2 linked regions of the Struthio camelus genome follow. The protein of the gene in region 1 interacts with the protein of each later gene in a pairwise test. Links are inferred from orthologs where the notes say so. Each region holds a gene or a part of one and is shown on either strand. Other genes may lie near its edges.

Region 1 (6,847 bases):
TTCCTCACCTCTTTCTTCTCTCCCTTCTTTCACCATTCATCATGTTTTCATGCATTATAAGCTATGAAAGTCCTTTACTGGAAAAATCATGCAGACTATACCTGCATATGAAGGAGTAGAGAAAAGGAAAAAAATGACTCAAATTCCCCTCCTGAATCCGCCGTCCTTTCTAGAGAGAGAGGGAGGGTTGGGGTAAATTTGTCCCCGCACTTCTGCCCTACACTTCCTCTTCCTTCCCCCGCCAACAGGCTCATCTCCGTCCCTTCCAGCATCCTCTGCCCTCGCACGGCTGCCACCTGCCCAGCGCAAGGAGAAGGGACAGAGAAACAGGAGAAGCTGCAGCAGTCCTTGTGCCCAGTTAACAGCTTGCTTGCTGCCCTGAACCTGTGTTTTCACATGTGCAGCCTATAGGTTATCTGCAGTAATTCTTACAGGAGGGCAGGCTTTGCGTCCTGATCATTTCAAATATAATACATACAGACATTTTTGCCTTTGCATTTGTATTTATTGTTTCTTCACTCCAAGACAATTAAAAATTCCATTATGTCCTCACCTATAATACTAAAATATAAAAATTAGTATTCTGAAGTCACATTCCTCTTCAAATCACAATCACTTGCTTTCTCTATGCCTACCCTCCCCACAACTTCATCCCATCTTTCATACTGCCCATCATACTTGCCAGAGCTTTCCACCTCCCTGCAAAGCAATTTCCTTTTCCTCTTTCAACCTCAAAACCCTCACTGGTATCCCCCATCTGTACTTTTTTCCTCATGGGTCATGTGTGTCTGTGTGAGATATCTGATCACCTCTAGGCAGTATTCAAAGGCCCAATTCTCTTCTTCTTATTCATCTCATACAATTTAGCCTCTCTGAAGGCTAACTCTTGAAAGGCTTCTGAATCAAACAACTTTCTTTCATAAATACAGAATAATACAAGTTCACAACATTCTCTCGAGCTTACTAGCTATGACTGCATGACTTAACTACTCAAGCGATCTCTTCAGTGCTACATTCTAGAACATAATACTCAAGGATTAACTAAGATTTTAGAACCTATGTAGGTACGACATAAATATATACTGCACTTTTACATCATGCATAATGCTGTGTTCAGACTTACAAAAATCAAGATAAGTAACAGTTCTCAGACACAAGATACTCTGTTTATTCAAACTACTCAGAAAGAGTGTTGTTACTCCCACTGTTCCCAGATGCGTACTACTATCACGAATACTGCAAAAGCAAAACCTAAAGATTTTGGTAGGAAGACAGCTTGCTTAAAAACTGATTAGAGTATAAACTTTGAAATAAATTGCTACATGTTTCCTTTTTAAAAGTACTTGCAGTAAAATATTTGTTAAGTTTAGGCAAAACAGGCATCTGGTATTAGTGTACAGCCCCCGTGCATAGTCATAGTTTTCTTTTTCAAAGAGCTCTGAAAATACTGCATCACACCACAATGCACAGCTCACACGCAGTATTCCTCCTGTTCTGAAAAATCACTCCCACAATCTCAAGGTCCACAAGTATTTGAATTTTCTGTTAACCATAACCCACATCACAAAGAAAATCATGTAAAATTTATCATCTTCATTTTTTTTTTCCAAGAGGAGAGGCAGCTATGTTGATGCAGTTGCTGTCATAAAGCAATTTAATATTAACCTGACTCCAGCTGTTCAGATAGCAGTGGAAAGCTGGACCACTACTAAAAACTGGAGGAAAAAGAGATGCACGAATTCATTTTTATGAAACATTACAAACGCTCACAATGTTGCTGCTAAAAGCAAAAATCCCAAAATACCTCATTTTGATTCTAAAGTTTGTATTGAAGAACTCTGTATTTTTAGGATGCCGGATGTCTTTCCCCCCCACATATCAGCTAATAAGGGCTAGCTAAATAATTCTACATCTTCTGCAAGGCAAGCCTGCAAATATTCCCTCTGATGATACTGGCAGACTCCTCACTTCCTTCTTCCTTTTCCACAGTGCCACCGCCAGCCAGCCTGCCTCTCACACTGCCATCACACCACCACCCGAATAAACCCTACTGAAACAAAAACAAAACAAAAAAAAACCAGACAGTAACTATAGACCAACTATCTTAATGCCAAAGAGGGTTTTTAACCCCAAGAACCCCTCGGGTGGGTTCCCCGCCAGGGAAGGAAGGCAGGGCAGGCGCAGCCAGCAGGGACACCTGCCCCGGCCGCGGCCCGGCGCGCGGGGCAGCAGCACACAGGCGCCCCGCGGGCCCGGGCGCCTCCGCGGCGCGACCCAGCCCCGCAGCGCGTCCTGTGCCTGGGTATGGGACAGGCGGGCGGAAGGACGGGCGGGCGGACGGACGGGGGGACAGATGTCACCCATGCAGCAGAGACACGCACAGCGGCGGCTGAGCGCTTCTGGTGGTACCAGCTCCTCACGGAGGCAGATACACACACACATGCATACGGGCGTGCGCGCGCGCGTGTACATGTAAATACGAACACATAACAATGAATACACAAATACGGATATGTAAAACACACCCACACACCACGCACATATGCCCGTGAACCCGGCGCACGAGAAGTTCCCGAGGGGAGACACCGGTCCCGCAAGGCCGGCGGGTCTCCCGCTGCACGGCGGGGGCGGGCGGCGCAGCTTCCTCCCCTCCCCTCGGCCTCCGCCTCCGCCTCCCCCCGAGCGGGCCGGGCCGGGCCGGGCCGGGCCGGGTGCGGCCGCCGGGAGCCGCCGCAGGCCCCGGCCGCCGACACCCGGGCAGCCGCGGCGGCGGCCTTACCGTTGCAGAAATGGAGCAGCGAGGAGGTGTCGTAGAGGCTGCTGTAGCTGGAGAAGCCGTCCTCCATCCTGCCGCGGCGCTCCCGGCCTGCCCCGGCGGCGGCGGCGGCTGCCTGGCTCCCGCTCTGCCACACACTGAGGCGCGGCGGCGGCGGCGGCGGGGGCCGGCGGCCTGCTGCCTGCCTCACTCAGTTGCCATGGCGACCCGCCCGCTCCGCCGCGCAGGCCGGGGGCAGGCCCGCGGGGGCGGGGCCGGGCCGGGCCGCACCGCGCCGCGCCGCGCAGCGCGGCCAGGCGGGCGGCGGCGGCGGCGGCTCCCTCTCGCCGCCTCCAGCCTCCGCCCGCGGCCCCGCGGCGGCTCCTCCCCTCCGGCGCGGCCCGGGCGGCGGGATGGCGCGGGAAGAGGGGGCGCGGAGGGCGGCGGAGAGCGGCGGAGGGCCGGGGCGGGCGGCGGCCCGGGTCCGCGCCGGCGGGCGGCGGCGGCGTGGCGCTGACACCCGGAGCGACATCGCTGCTCCTCGGGGATGAAACTGCCCTGGGAAAATAAGCGGTGCAGTCACGGGTGGGAACGCCTCCGAGCCCCGGGCCGAGAGGTCCTGCAGCGTTTTAGGGGGCGACCCGAGAGCCGCCCCGGCCCCCCCTTGCTGCGCGGGCGCTGCGCTCATTGCTGTTTTGGGTAAAGCCCCTCTCGCTCCCAGCGGAGCAACCGGCCGCCTGCGACTGCGGCCTGCGTCCTCCGCTGATGCCAGCGGTACTCCAGCTGGGTACAGGACATCGTTGTCAGGATAACACTGTAATTGATAGTCTCTTGCGGTAATTAAAAAGCAAGGCTACGTCTTCTAATTTGTTGTGACAATTTTATATAGTTTTAGTTATTTAGTTTGCAGACTGCCACCATCTGTACGCTTTTCTAATACATGAGAGCACAATAATTTGAACTGTTCTTAATATTTATCTAGGTACAGATACAACGTCTATTCATGCTGATGCCAGGGTACTGTGGTTAGGAACATTGTGAAATTATGTTACACCTCATTGGCTTCGATTTCTGTGCTGGAGATGCTGCAGTGTGCAATGAGTGAAAGCCACTGTTATTTCAAGCTCCTCTAGAGACACAAGGAAAATAACGTATTGCACCCCATAGCACCTTTCGCCTTGAAATATCCCAAAGCATTTAACAAGGTGTGTCTTCTGCTCTCAGTCCTTTACGGGGCTTTGTGCAGGGCGGTTGTCGTGTGGATCCGCTCACAGGCGTGAGCTGTGCACATGCGAGTCTTCTCACCAACTGCTAAAGCAGACTAGTGCTAACACAAAAATACACCATAATATTAGGCTGAGATATCAGTTCCGCATTAAAGCAGAGTGAAAAGTGCTCCCTCCTGAGTTGCCAGTGCCAATGTCGGTAGAGTTGAAGAGACTGCCAATGCAAGTGCCTGCCCAGCCTCATGGTGCTTAGCTTGTATCTGACTGAAACAACTGCGTGCTATAGCTGCAGGCTGTAGAAGAGAGAAGGTTTGTAGTAGCTTAATTATAAAACAAACAAACAAAAAGCATAGAAGGGAAAATGACTTTAAAAAGTACTAAGGACAATAGGCTTTTTTAATGCTTTAAATGAGCCCTGATTCTTTCTGCTCTTTAAAATTCACACGGATCCCTTAGGTTTTCTCATGACCTTGTCATGCCTAATCCATCAAACTCTTCCAAAATATGATATTGTTGTAAGAAAATGTACACACACACACACACACACACACACACAGGGTTTTTGGCAGACGTAGGTTTTTTGGCAGATATGTTACAATACTAGGAAAGCGCAGCTTAGTTTTAGCACAAATTGACAAGATTCTTCATTTTAAAACACTTTTGCCATGGTTAAGTTATTCTTTTTGAGCCTGAGAAGTGTTCTAATATGCTAATTCTCCATTTACTAGAGACAAATTTAACGCTATTGGTGTGGTGTCCATAAGATGTCAATGTTAGCTTACTCTATACCTCCTGAAGATGTCCAAATGTTGGTAAATAATTCTGTGAAACCTTGCCATGGTGTACGATTTTCATGCCAAAACAATTTCCATATATGTCTGTACGGTTTCCAATACTAAATGGATTAAATGAAAAAGCATATCCAAAAGTTTTATTTCTGCAGTAAAAAACTTACTGTCAATGAGATAATCTACAAGAAAGTCCTAATGCTACAAAAGTAAGAGAGGTAAGGACTCAATGACGTTTACAGTGCCTAGAAAAGCAGAAGAAAGGACAAAAAGGAGCAATACAGCTGCGTTACAGATAGGGGAAATTAAAAGCCACTTAGAAAATCAAACATAAACCTGCTATGAGCACAGCATTGTTAAAGGAAGGTAAAATATCTAAAACCTTAAAACTGATTCCCCAGTGAAATTTGTTGTGAAGGTGTTACCTCAGGGAAGCCTGTCAGCTCACCACGTTATGAAAATCGGCTCAGTGGTATGACATAAAATGATATCCGTTCAAGTCTCTAGTTGCTGTTATGGTGCCATTATCTTCTGAGGGCAAGGGTTAGAAAAGGAAAACAGTATCATAATTTAATTGCAATGATTTCTAGGCCTGTTACAATCTCATTACACTAAACTGCACTACAAACCACAAAATGAAAAAGAAATTATATCTAGCTGTGTGAACAATGGAACAATAGATCTGAAAGATTCACTAGTGCGTCTGTGGGAATTCTGGTGGTACAGCTAAACAATGAAAGCGTTTCTTTTTATAGTCCATTTTTTGGTAAACTATAACTTTAATCATTTGTATAGATCCAAGCCAGTGCATTGGAAAATGCGACATTATATGAAGGAGAGCGTATCATCCTGATGAGTATACTGGGATTGATGTATTTGGAGGGGATTTATTGTACACTTGTGCACGCTTATTGTTGAGCATGTTAAAAGTGTACGACATTACATGTTTGGAAGCTGTATTTTGTAACTAATTATTTCAGTTTCGTTTGTATTGAGTAGTGTAATACAAATAACTGTTTGGTAAGTGAAAACAAAAGAGCTTTTACACATCGCTAGCAGAATTTTCAGGATGTAATACTCCAATTTTAGGATGAAGAAAATTTGCTTTCACTCCCCATTTATATACTGTAGTCAACGAATTTTGATGTTTGAGGTATTCCTGTTCCTTTTTTATTTCTATTTCTTTTGCATTACTAATAAATATCAAAACTATACTGTAGTGGTTTCGGAAGTATTGTAATTCATAACTCTCAACTGCATAGAATGGTATACTATTATAGTATGATGTTATAGCTGAAGTATACTCTCAGATCAAGATCAACTTGTCACAGACACAATGTCATCATGAAACAGAAACAATGACCCTTTTAAAACCCGCTAAAATGATGGAAACTGATTATACATTTTATTCCTATGTTGTTTGCAATCATGCTGAGAGAAAAAGCCCAGTGCAAGCACGTTCCAGCTGGTGGGTAGAGAAGAGCTTCTGAAGAGTGACTCTTCTAGGTCGCTCATTTGGCACTATCACTGGACAGCGTCAGGCTCTTTTCACCATTTGGTGATTGCCTCGACAGTCTACCTTAATGCTACTCATGCACGAAGTCACATCTTGGTCTGGGCAGGAAGCCATTGCCGTGGGAGCTCGTTGAGGAAGAAGGTGGCCCTTGGTAAGAGAGTGAGGTTGGCATTTGTTTCGCAGTGGCAAAGCCACCGTGCAGAAATACCAATGGAGTTAGGATTTATTGGACCCTCTGCGGAATGGAGAAGAAGCAAATGCTCAATCCGCCACAGAGGCTGAAGGGTTTTTCTTTCAGGTTAGCCTACTGCATGTCCGCAGACCAAATCGGCAAAGCTGGGACTGCGGCTGCTCACGCTAAACCTATTTTGTAAGCAGAGCAAACTTCACCCTGCAAAGCGTCTAGCACCATCATCTGCAAACGCTGGTTTCACTCAAATTTATCAAGGCATGGAATTATAGCATCTATTTTACTGCCAATAACTTTTAAAGATCCCCTCAAGCTCTTTAGAAATCATTTGATAGACCACATTCACTGCAACATGGTTAAAGGGAGCTGAAT
Region 2 (7,930 bases), on another chromosome or scaffold:
GGCAAAGCCTCACCAACTCAACCTGCCTGATAGCGGGCTGCTCTGAGGGGCTCAGGATCACTGCACCTGCTCCCGTGGGCTGCTTTTCAGGGAAGGGGAAACTGAGGCACAAGGCAGGGGCCTGCCTTGCCCCAGGACCATCAGGAGTGACTGAAGGTTAATCCCTGAACCTTCCTCAGGAAGCAAAGCACCTCCAAGCACTCTGATTACAGCCCAGCCAGTGCAAAGAAAGAGGGCTGGACCTTTCCGCACTCCTGTCGTGCCCCTGCCTGCTGCGACACCGCCAGGCCTTGCTGCTCCCTGTGGCACAGGCTCGATCCTGCCCTCCCACAACAGCATTCCTCCCAGCTCTCCAAGGGAGGTTTCGGGAGTTTCTCGCTACGGCAGAAGCTTCGCAGCGGCCCCCTGTGGCGGCTACTGAAATCGGGGAGGAACCTTCCCAGCACGGGGCGAGCGGGGAGCCGGCTGGCACGGGGTGAGCTGGGACACCCCAGCGTCAGGCCCGGTAGCCGCCGCCACCACCGTCGGGTACCTGAATGTCTTTGTGCAGCAGCTGCTTGGCGAGGCGCTTCAGGGAGATCGACACGTTCTCGGGAAAGCCGCCCTTACGGTTCAGCAAGGGGATTTTGGACGTGTCCCGGGTGAGCGATTTGGGGTGGAAATACTTGAGCGCCTTGAAGTCGTTGCAGATGGCGTGGCCAACCACAATCTTCCCGGAGAGGATTTTCAGGATCTGAGAAGGAAGGAGAACAGGGGGTTATGGCAGAACTGCCGCAGCCCGGATCACACAGGCACCGGAGGGACCTGCCAGACCCCAACACGCTGCGCTGCGGCCGTGTAAGAGATCCTTACCTTCGGTCACGCTCTGCGGGGAGTCACTGCTCCTCGGCAGAGCATGACACCGGCCCCACGCACTGGGAGCTCCAGTGAGAAACCCACGCGCTTACTTTAAGCCACAAAGAGGTCAGCGCTATGACGTGGGACTGAACGGGAGCAGCCGAAGCGCGCGGAGATGCTCCCTCTGCTGCAGAGGTGAGATCCGCAGCAGACGGGCGCGCAGGCAGCCCTCGCCTGAGCGGCCGAGTCCCCCACAGCCCCACAGACCTCCAAACAGCCCCGAGAGCCCCATGAGACGGGGAGGACCCCCCACCCCAGACCGTGCCACCCCTCGTCACGCAGCTCGGCGCCCCTGGGAGCGCACCTCTCGCTGGGCTTTGCTGAACGGGACGGCATTCACCATGTGATGACGCTTGATGCCGCTCCAGCGGGTGCGGTAGTCCACGATGGGGTTGGCCGGGCGGATGTACTGGTCGTACATGACGTCGCCGTCGTAGCCGATGATGCTGCACCGGGCCAGGTCGCTGATGCGCCCGCCGGGCCCCGTGCCCACCATCTCACAGTCAATGGCCACCAGTTTGCTAGGCACAGCGGGGAGGAGAGGGGTACTTTTCTTTCCCTTAACTGAGGGACACAGAGCTTGCTTTGTTTCTGGGGGAAAACCTGTCCTTTTGGAGCTCGTGGAGTTGTTCTGCGCGGCTGGGCTGGGCTGGGGATTATTCACTTTGGGGCATGTTTTGGACCTGTCCCTCCTGGCCACATCTGCAGCCTGCTGTTTTTTGGCGTTCCTGCCCCAGGAACCCGACTTCTTCTGTGAGCCTTTCCCTGCCTGCTGCAGGGCCGGCGGCAGCTGCTTTTGCTTCAGCACCCCCTTCCTCTCCAGGATCCGGCGCCGTTTCAGAAAGTTCTTGTGCTTTCGGTTGCCAGCCGACCCCTTCTTGGAGGGCTCCGAGAGGCCAAAGCTCACATTGAGGATCAAATCCGACATGGCTGGGCTCCAGCGGGAGGACGTGCACGTGGGGACGCGGAGGAGCGGGGATCCCCGCGCCGGCCTCGCAGCCGGTCCTGCCTGCAGCACAGAGAGCGGGAGCTCGGCATCCCCGTCCCCAGGCCGCCTCTGAGCTCGCCGCAGGCGCCCGGGGAAACCGCCAGAAACGGATGTTTCTCGCTCAGCTCCGCGGCAAATCCCTCCAGGAGGGCGAAATGCCCTTGCCCACTCTGATAGGGCCCCCCACCCTGACATGGGCCCCCTCCCCCAAAGGACTCACCCCCAAACTGGCCCCTAAACCCCCCACAGTACCCACCCTGCTTTCTCCACCCCAAAAAGAACCCCCCCCAAAGCACTCACCCCAAAACCGGCTCCCAAACCCCCCACAGCACCCATCCCACCCTCTCCACCCAAAAGGGACCCCCTCTCCCCAAAGGACTCACCCCAAAACCGGTCCTCACCCCCCATAACACCCAACCCTCCCTCGCCCCCCCCAAAGGACTCACCCTAAAACCAGCCCCCAAGCCCCCCACAGCACCCATCCCGCCCTCCCCACCCCAAAAGGCACCCCCTCCCCCAAAGGACTCACCCCAAAACCAGCTCTCAACCCCCCACAGCGCCCACCACCCCAAAACCGGCCCCCAAACCCCCCACAGCGCCCACCCCGCCCTCCCCACCCCAAAAGGCGCCCCCTCCCCCAAAGGACTCACCCCAAAACCAGCCCTCAACCCCCCACAGCGCCCACCACCCCAAAACCGGCCCCCAAACCCCCCACAGCGCCCACCCCGCCCTCCCCACCCCAGAAGAGGCCCCCTCCTCCCAAAGGACTCACCCTAAAACGGGCCCCCAACCCCCCACAGCACCCACCACCTCAAAACCGGCCCCCAAACCCCTACAGGGCCCACCCGGCCCTCCCCCCCACAAGGACTCACCCCCAGACCGGCCCCCACGCCCCCTCTCAGCCCCCTCCCCACCCCAAAATGACCTCCCCTCCCCCCCCAAAGACCCCCCGCCCCCCGGCGCCGCGGGCCCACCCGGAAGCGGAAGCCGCCGCGGCCTCTCCCGGCCGAGGGCAACACGCGCGAGCCGGCGCGGAGAGACGCGCACGCTGCTGCCCCCAACAACCAACCCCCCACCCCCCCCCCGCGCGCATGCGCGCGAGCCCCGCGCCGGGCGGAAGTGCCGCCCTGCGCCTGCGCCCGCGGCAGCAACCTCAGTTGGCGCATGCTCAGAGAGCGCGCGGCGTGTCGCGCGGGGAGGGGGCGGTGCGCAGGCGCAGCGCTGAGGCGGGAACCATAGAGGGGCCAGGTGGTGAGCGGGCGCGGCGGGTGGCGGGGCGCTCTAGCCCGCCGGCGGGCGGGTTGGGGGGAGGTAGGGCCGGGTGACGAAGGGGGCTCAACCCGCGCTGCTGACATCACAGGTGATGTCGTGGCGGTGGCAGGCCCCGGCGTGATGTCACAGCTCTTTGGGGAGGAGGGGGTGGCTTGGGCTGCAGCGTGATGCCATGGTGCCTGTGAGTCATGGCCCCTGGGATATCATGGCCTCTGTGATGTCACAATGCCTGTGACGTCATGGGCCCTGTGATATCATGGTGCCTGTGATGTCATAGGCCCTGTGATGTCACAGTGTCTGTGATGCCATCAGCCCTGTGATGTCATGGGCCTATGATATCATGGTCCCTGTGATATCATGGCCTCTGTGATGTCATGGCCCCTGTGATGTTGTGGTGCCTGTGATGTCACAGTGCCTGTTATATCATAGCCTCTGTGACATCATGGTCCCTGTGATGTCACAGTCCCTGTGATGTCACAGTGCCTGTTATATCATGGCCTCCGTGATGTCATGGCCCCTGTGATGTTGTGGTGCCTGTGATGTCACAGTGCCTGTTATAGCATAGCCTCTGTGATATCATGGTCCCTGTGATGTCGTGGTGTCTGTGATGTCACAGTGCCTGTTATAGCATAGCCTCTGTGATATCATGGTCCCTGTGATGTCGTGGTGTCTGTGATGTCACAGTGCCTGTTATAGCATAGCCTCTGTGATATCATGGTCCCTGTGATGTCGTGGTGTCTGTGATGTCACAGTGCCTGTTATAGCATAGCCTCTGTGACATCATGGCCCCTGTGATGTCATGATGCCTGTGATGTCACAATGCCTGTTATAGCATAGCCTCTGTGACATCATGGCCTCTGTGACATCATGGCCCCTGTGATGTCACAGTGCCTGTTATATCATGCCCCCTGTGATGTCATGCCCCCTGTGATGTCATGACCCCTGTGATGTCACAGTGCCTGTTATATCATGGCCTCTGTGACGTCGTGGCGCCTGTGATGTCACGGTGCCTGTGACGTCGCGGCCCCCGTGATGTCACGGCCTTGCCAAGGGGGGCTGCGTCACGGCCCCCTGCCATCGCCTCGCCAGGTGACGGTCGCGCCGGGAGGCCGCGGCGAGGGGCAGCCGCCATGGCGGGGCCCCTGCGGCGGGAGCAGCAGCGGGCGGCCAGCATCGTCCGCGTCCTGGCGCTCTACCGGCCCCTGCTCGACGCCTACGTCATCGTGAGTGTCCCCGTCGCCGCCGCCGCCACCGCCGCCGCCGCCGCCGCCCCTCACCGCTGCCCCTGCCGCCCGCAGGAGTTTTTCACCGAGGACCTGTGGGCCCGGCTGCCGCCCTCCTGGCAGGCCGCGCTGGCCGACGTGCCGGCGCCGCGCCTGGCCGCCGCGCTGCTGCAGCCCGCCGCCACCACCGTCACCGCCGTCTGGCCGCTCTCCCTGCTGGCCTTCAAGGCGACGGCCCAGGCGCTGGCCTTCCCCCGCCACCACCACCGCCGCCGCCATCGCCGCCGCCTGCCCTGCCAGAGCGCCGCGCTGCCCCCGCTGCTCCGCAAGCACGTCAAGCCCAAAAAGCAGCACGAGATCCGGCGCCTGGGCCAGGTGGGCAGCGGCCGGCGGCCGCGGCACCGGCCGTGGAGCGGCCCCCGACCCTCCTCTTCCTCCCCCGGCCGCAGGTGGTGAAGCGGCTGAGCCAGGCCGCCGGCTGCGACCGCGTGGTGGACGTGGGCTCGGGGCAGGTAGGACCAGGCGGCGGGGACGGCGGCGCGGTGACGACGGAAGCAGCGGTGTCGCCGACCGCCGCGTCCGTCCCCCGACTCGCAGGGCCACCTCTCCCGCTTCCTGGCCTTCGGCCTCGGCTTGCCCGTCACCGCCGTGGAGGGTGACGGCCGCCTGGTCGAGGCGGCCGAGCGTTTCGACCGGGAGCTGCTGCGGGAGCTGCGGAAAGCCCAGGCGCGCGGCGCCCAGGTGAGGGCGAGCCGGCAGCGGGGACGGGGTCCGTCCCGAACGTCCCCCCGCTCCCCGCCACCGCCCACCGTAACCCACCCGCCGCCCAGGTGCCTCTCTTCCCGCGGGGACCGCGCCACGTAGCCGGCCGCCTGGACCCCCGAGCGCCGTGGCTCGACGAGCTGCTGCCCCCGGAGCCGGGACCGCCCGCCGGCCCCCCGAACCCGTTGGGGTCTCGGGGCCCCGAACGGGTGCTGCTCACGGGGCTGCACGCCTGCGGCGACCTCAGCGTGGCCTTGCTCCGCCACTTCGCCCGCAGCCCCCACGTGGCCGCCCTGACCTCGGTGGCTTGCTGCTACATGAAGCTCTCCACCCGCCCGGCGTCCCCCGCCACCTCCCCGGCTCTCGGCTACCCGCTGAGCGCCTGGGTGGCGGGGCTGCCGGGCCACGCGCTCTCCTACAAGGCGCGCGAAGCGGCCTGCCACGCGCTGGAGGACTACGCCGGGCGGCTGCGGGCCGACAGCGGCGCCCTGCGGACCCACTGCTACCGGGCCGTGCTGGAGACCCTCATCCGGGCGGCCGACCCCAGCAAGAAGCGCCTGGCGGTGCAGACGGTGAACAAGGCGCACGCGCTGAGCTTCCCCGAGTGAGCGCGGGCATCCCTCCCTCCCTCCCGCCCCGAAACGGGCCCATTCGGCCCCGGCTTGACCCGCTTCGTCCCCGCAGGTACGCCCAGCTGGGGCTGCCCCGCGTGGGGCTTGACCCGGCCGCCTTCCAGCTGGACTCGGAGGCCGTACGGGCCATGCTGCGGCAGGGGCAGAGGGTGGTGGCCTTCTTCAGCCTGGCGCTGCTGCTGGCGCCGCTGGTGGAGACCCTCATCCTGCTCGACCGCTTGCTCTACCTGCGAGAGCAAGGTGGGTGCCGGGGCTGCAGGGTGCGGGCAGGGGTGCTGCCACCACCGACCCTGCCTCTCCCCGCAGGTTTCCAGTGCGCCCTGATCCCCCTCTTTGACCCTCGGTTCTCCCCGCGCAACCTGGTGCTGGTGGCTGCCAAGTGCCCCCTGGGCCCGGTGCTGTCGGCCCTGGATGAGGACAGCGGCGACGACGAGGACAGCGGCGACGACGAGGACAGCGGCGACGACGAGGACGTGGCCCCACCGGGAGGATCACCACCAAGCTGCCCCCAGGCAGAGCCGTCCACGGAGGAGCAAAGCCAGGGCTGAGCTGCACCACAGCTGCCAGGAAAGGCCGAGCGTCCCCGTTTTGGGTCTGGAACCGCACCCCGGAGCGCAGCAGGCGGGACGCTGGCGCGTCCCACCTCGGCGTGCCACCGTCCCCATCACCACGGGAGCGCTTGCGCCCTGCGCCGGCTCCCTCGCGGCCTCGCGAGGTTATTTCGCAGCGCTGTGACCCGCTCGGACTGCAGGGGAACGCCATGCCCCAAAAGCCGTCACCCTCCTCCCGCGTGCACGGGGAGGGGAGGCGAAGGCTGGTGGGGGACAAGGGCTGCAAGGTGCAGCTCGGACCTCGTCTTTGTTACAATAAAGGCTGGTTTTCTACAGCACATGGCTCAGACGGAGCGAACAGGGAGGGAGCGTGGGCTGAGTGCTGTGGGCAGGAGGACCAGGCTTGGGATACCTGGGACTCCTGCCCTCTCCTAGCTTGGCTGGAAGTGGTCTCAAAACCACCGCATACTGCAGCCGTGTAAAAGAAGGGATGTTTTTATTGCAAGCTGCTGCCCAGGGGCCCAGACCACAGCCCCGGCGCGCGTTTCGCTTTTCCTCCCGTCCCCAACCAGGGCTGTTAATACCAGTAGGATTTCTTGGCCCTGCGCGTCTCCACGATGCCCATCGCATCCATGATCTCCTCCTCAAAGGTCTTCAGGGACGGCACGTACGTCTTGTCCAGCGCGTCTTCCACAGACGTGTCCTTCGGACCGTCTGCTCACAGCGAAGGGGACGGCGCTGAGTGCCTCGGAGTCCCTCGGTGAGAGGGAGCCGGCATCATGCCGAGCCGCGAGCCCCCTCTCACCCCTCACCTATCCACTGCTCGGGGACGATGCCATCCCGGCGGTGTCGCAGGGGCGTGGGGATGATCCGGCCGCTGCGCAGGGAGACGCGGACCCGCTCGCCCTCCTCCGTGTACCGCCACTCCACCTCCGTCGGCTTCCTGGCATGGGAGAGCGCGGAGATCTGTGCCGGGACGCAGCCACGGCTCCCTCACCCACCCGGCCCCGCAGCACGGAGGGTGTCACGGCTCTGCCGCGGTGGTTACCTGTCTTCGGGGTCCACCAGGGAGATCTGGCTGAGCAGCAGGGGCGCTTCGCTGGCGATGTACGTCGCAGGGTACTTGGCCATTCTGTTGATGTAGCGGTAATGCTGGGGGACGGTGACAGTGGTTATGGACACCCTGCGCAGCCCCGTGCCCACCCAGGCACCCCAAAACGCGCAGGCGTCACTCTGCCCGGACGAGCATGGAGCCCGGGCATGGAGCGTACGGCAGCCGGGACCTCGCCTTACGCTGGGGGTGCTCCCGTGTTCAAACCTCACCGTATTCAAGCCTTCCACAACAACCCAGTTGCGGGCTCGCACCACCTGCGTCACCATCGCCTGCTTTCCTGCGTCCTTCCCGGTCAGGACTTGGACCTGGCACCGAGAAGAGCAGGTCAGAGGCGGCAGGGACAGCTCCCAGCCAAGGGCCCCAGCTCGGGCCACCTCCTCAAGGAGCCTCGGGCGGACGCCGCTGGGTGACTCACCGTGTCACCCCGAAACACCTTCCAGTCTTCCTTGCTGATGGGCTCCACGAAGATCTTCTTGCGCCGGCGCCCCGGG

Evidence for each region. The genes of interacting proteins can lie anywhere in the genome.
Region 2: the proteins of EML1 (region 1) and ISG20L2 interact in binary tests that used the Homo sapiens proteins (3 or more experiments, as listed by UniProt). The two-hybrid records come from large-scale screens. The link is inferred for Struthio camelus from reciprocal best matches to the Homo sapiens genes EML1 and ISG20L2.

What each region holds. Positions count from the first base shown.
Region 1 is NC_090946.1:69,918,866-69,925,712, reverse strand, and holds the start of EML1 (echinoderm microtubule-associated protein-like 1), read right to left. Parts: upstream 3,013-6,847; 5' UTR 2,847-3,012; coding exon 2,780-2,846; intron 1-2,779. UniProt on the Homo sapiens protein: Modulates the assembly and organization of the microtubule cytoskeleton, and probably plays a role in regulating the orientation of the mitotic spindle and the orientation of the plane of cell division.
Region 2 is NC_090971.1:3,528,361-3,536,290, reverse strand, and holds the start of ISG20L2 (interferon-stimulated 20 kDa exonuclease-like 2), read right to left. Parts: upstream 3,001-7,930; 5' UTR 2,860-3,000; intron 2,079-2,859; exon of another isoform or gene 1,907-2,078; 5' UTR 1,826-1,906; coding exon 1,202-1,825; intron 734-1,201; coding exon 533-733; intron 1-532. Other genes in the region: METTL25B (methyltransferase-like protein 25B), read left to right, coding at 4,288-4,380, 4,456-4,755, 4,830-4,892, 4,978-5,121, 5,211-5,746, 5,827-6,322; MRPL24 (large ribosomal subunit protein uL24m), read right to left, coding at 6,903-7,039, 7,138-7,268, 7,374-7,477, 7,649-7,744, 7,855-7,930. UniProt on the Homo sapiens protein: 3'-> 5'-exoribonuclease involved in ribosome biogenesis in the processing of the 12S pre-rRNA. Displays a strong specificity for a 3'-end containing a free hydroxyl group.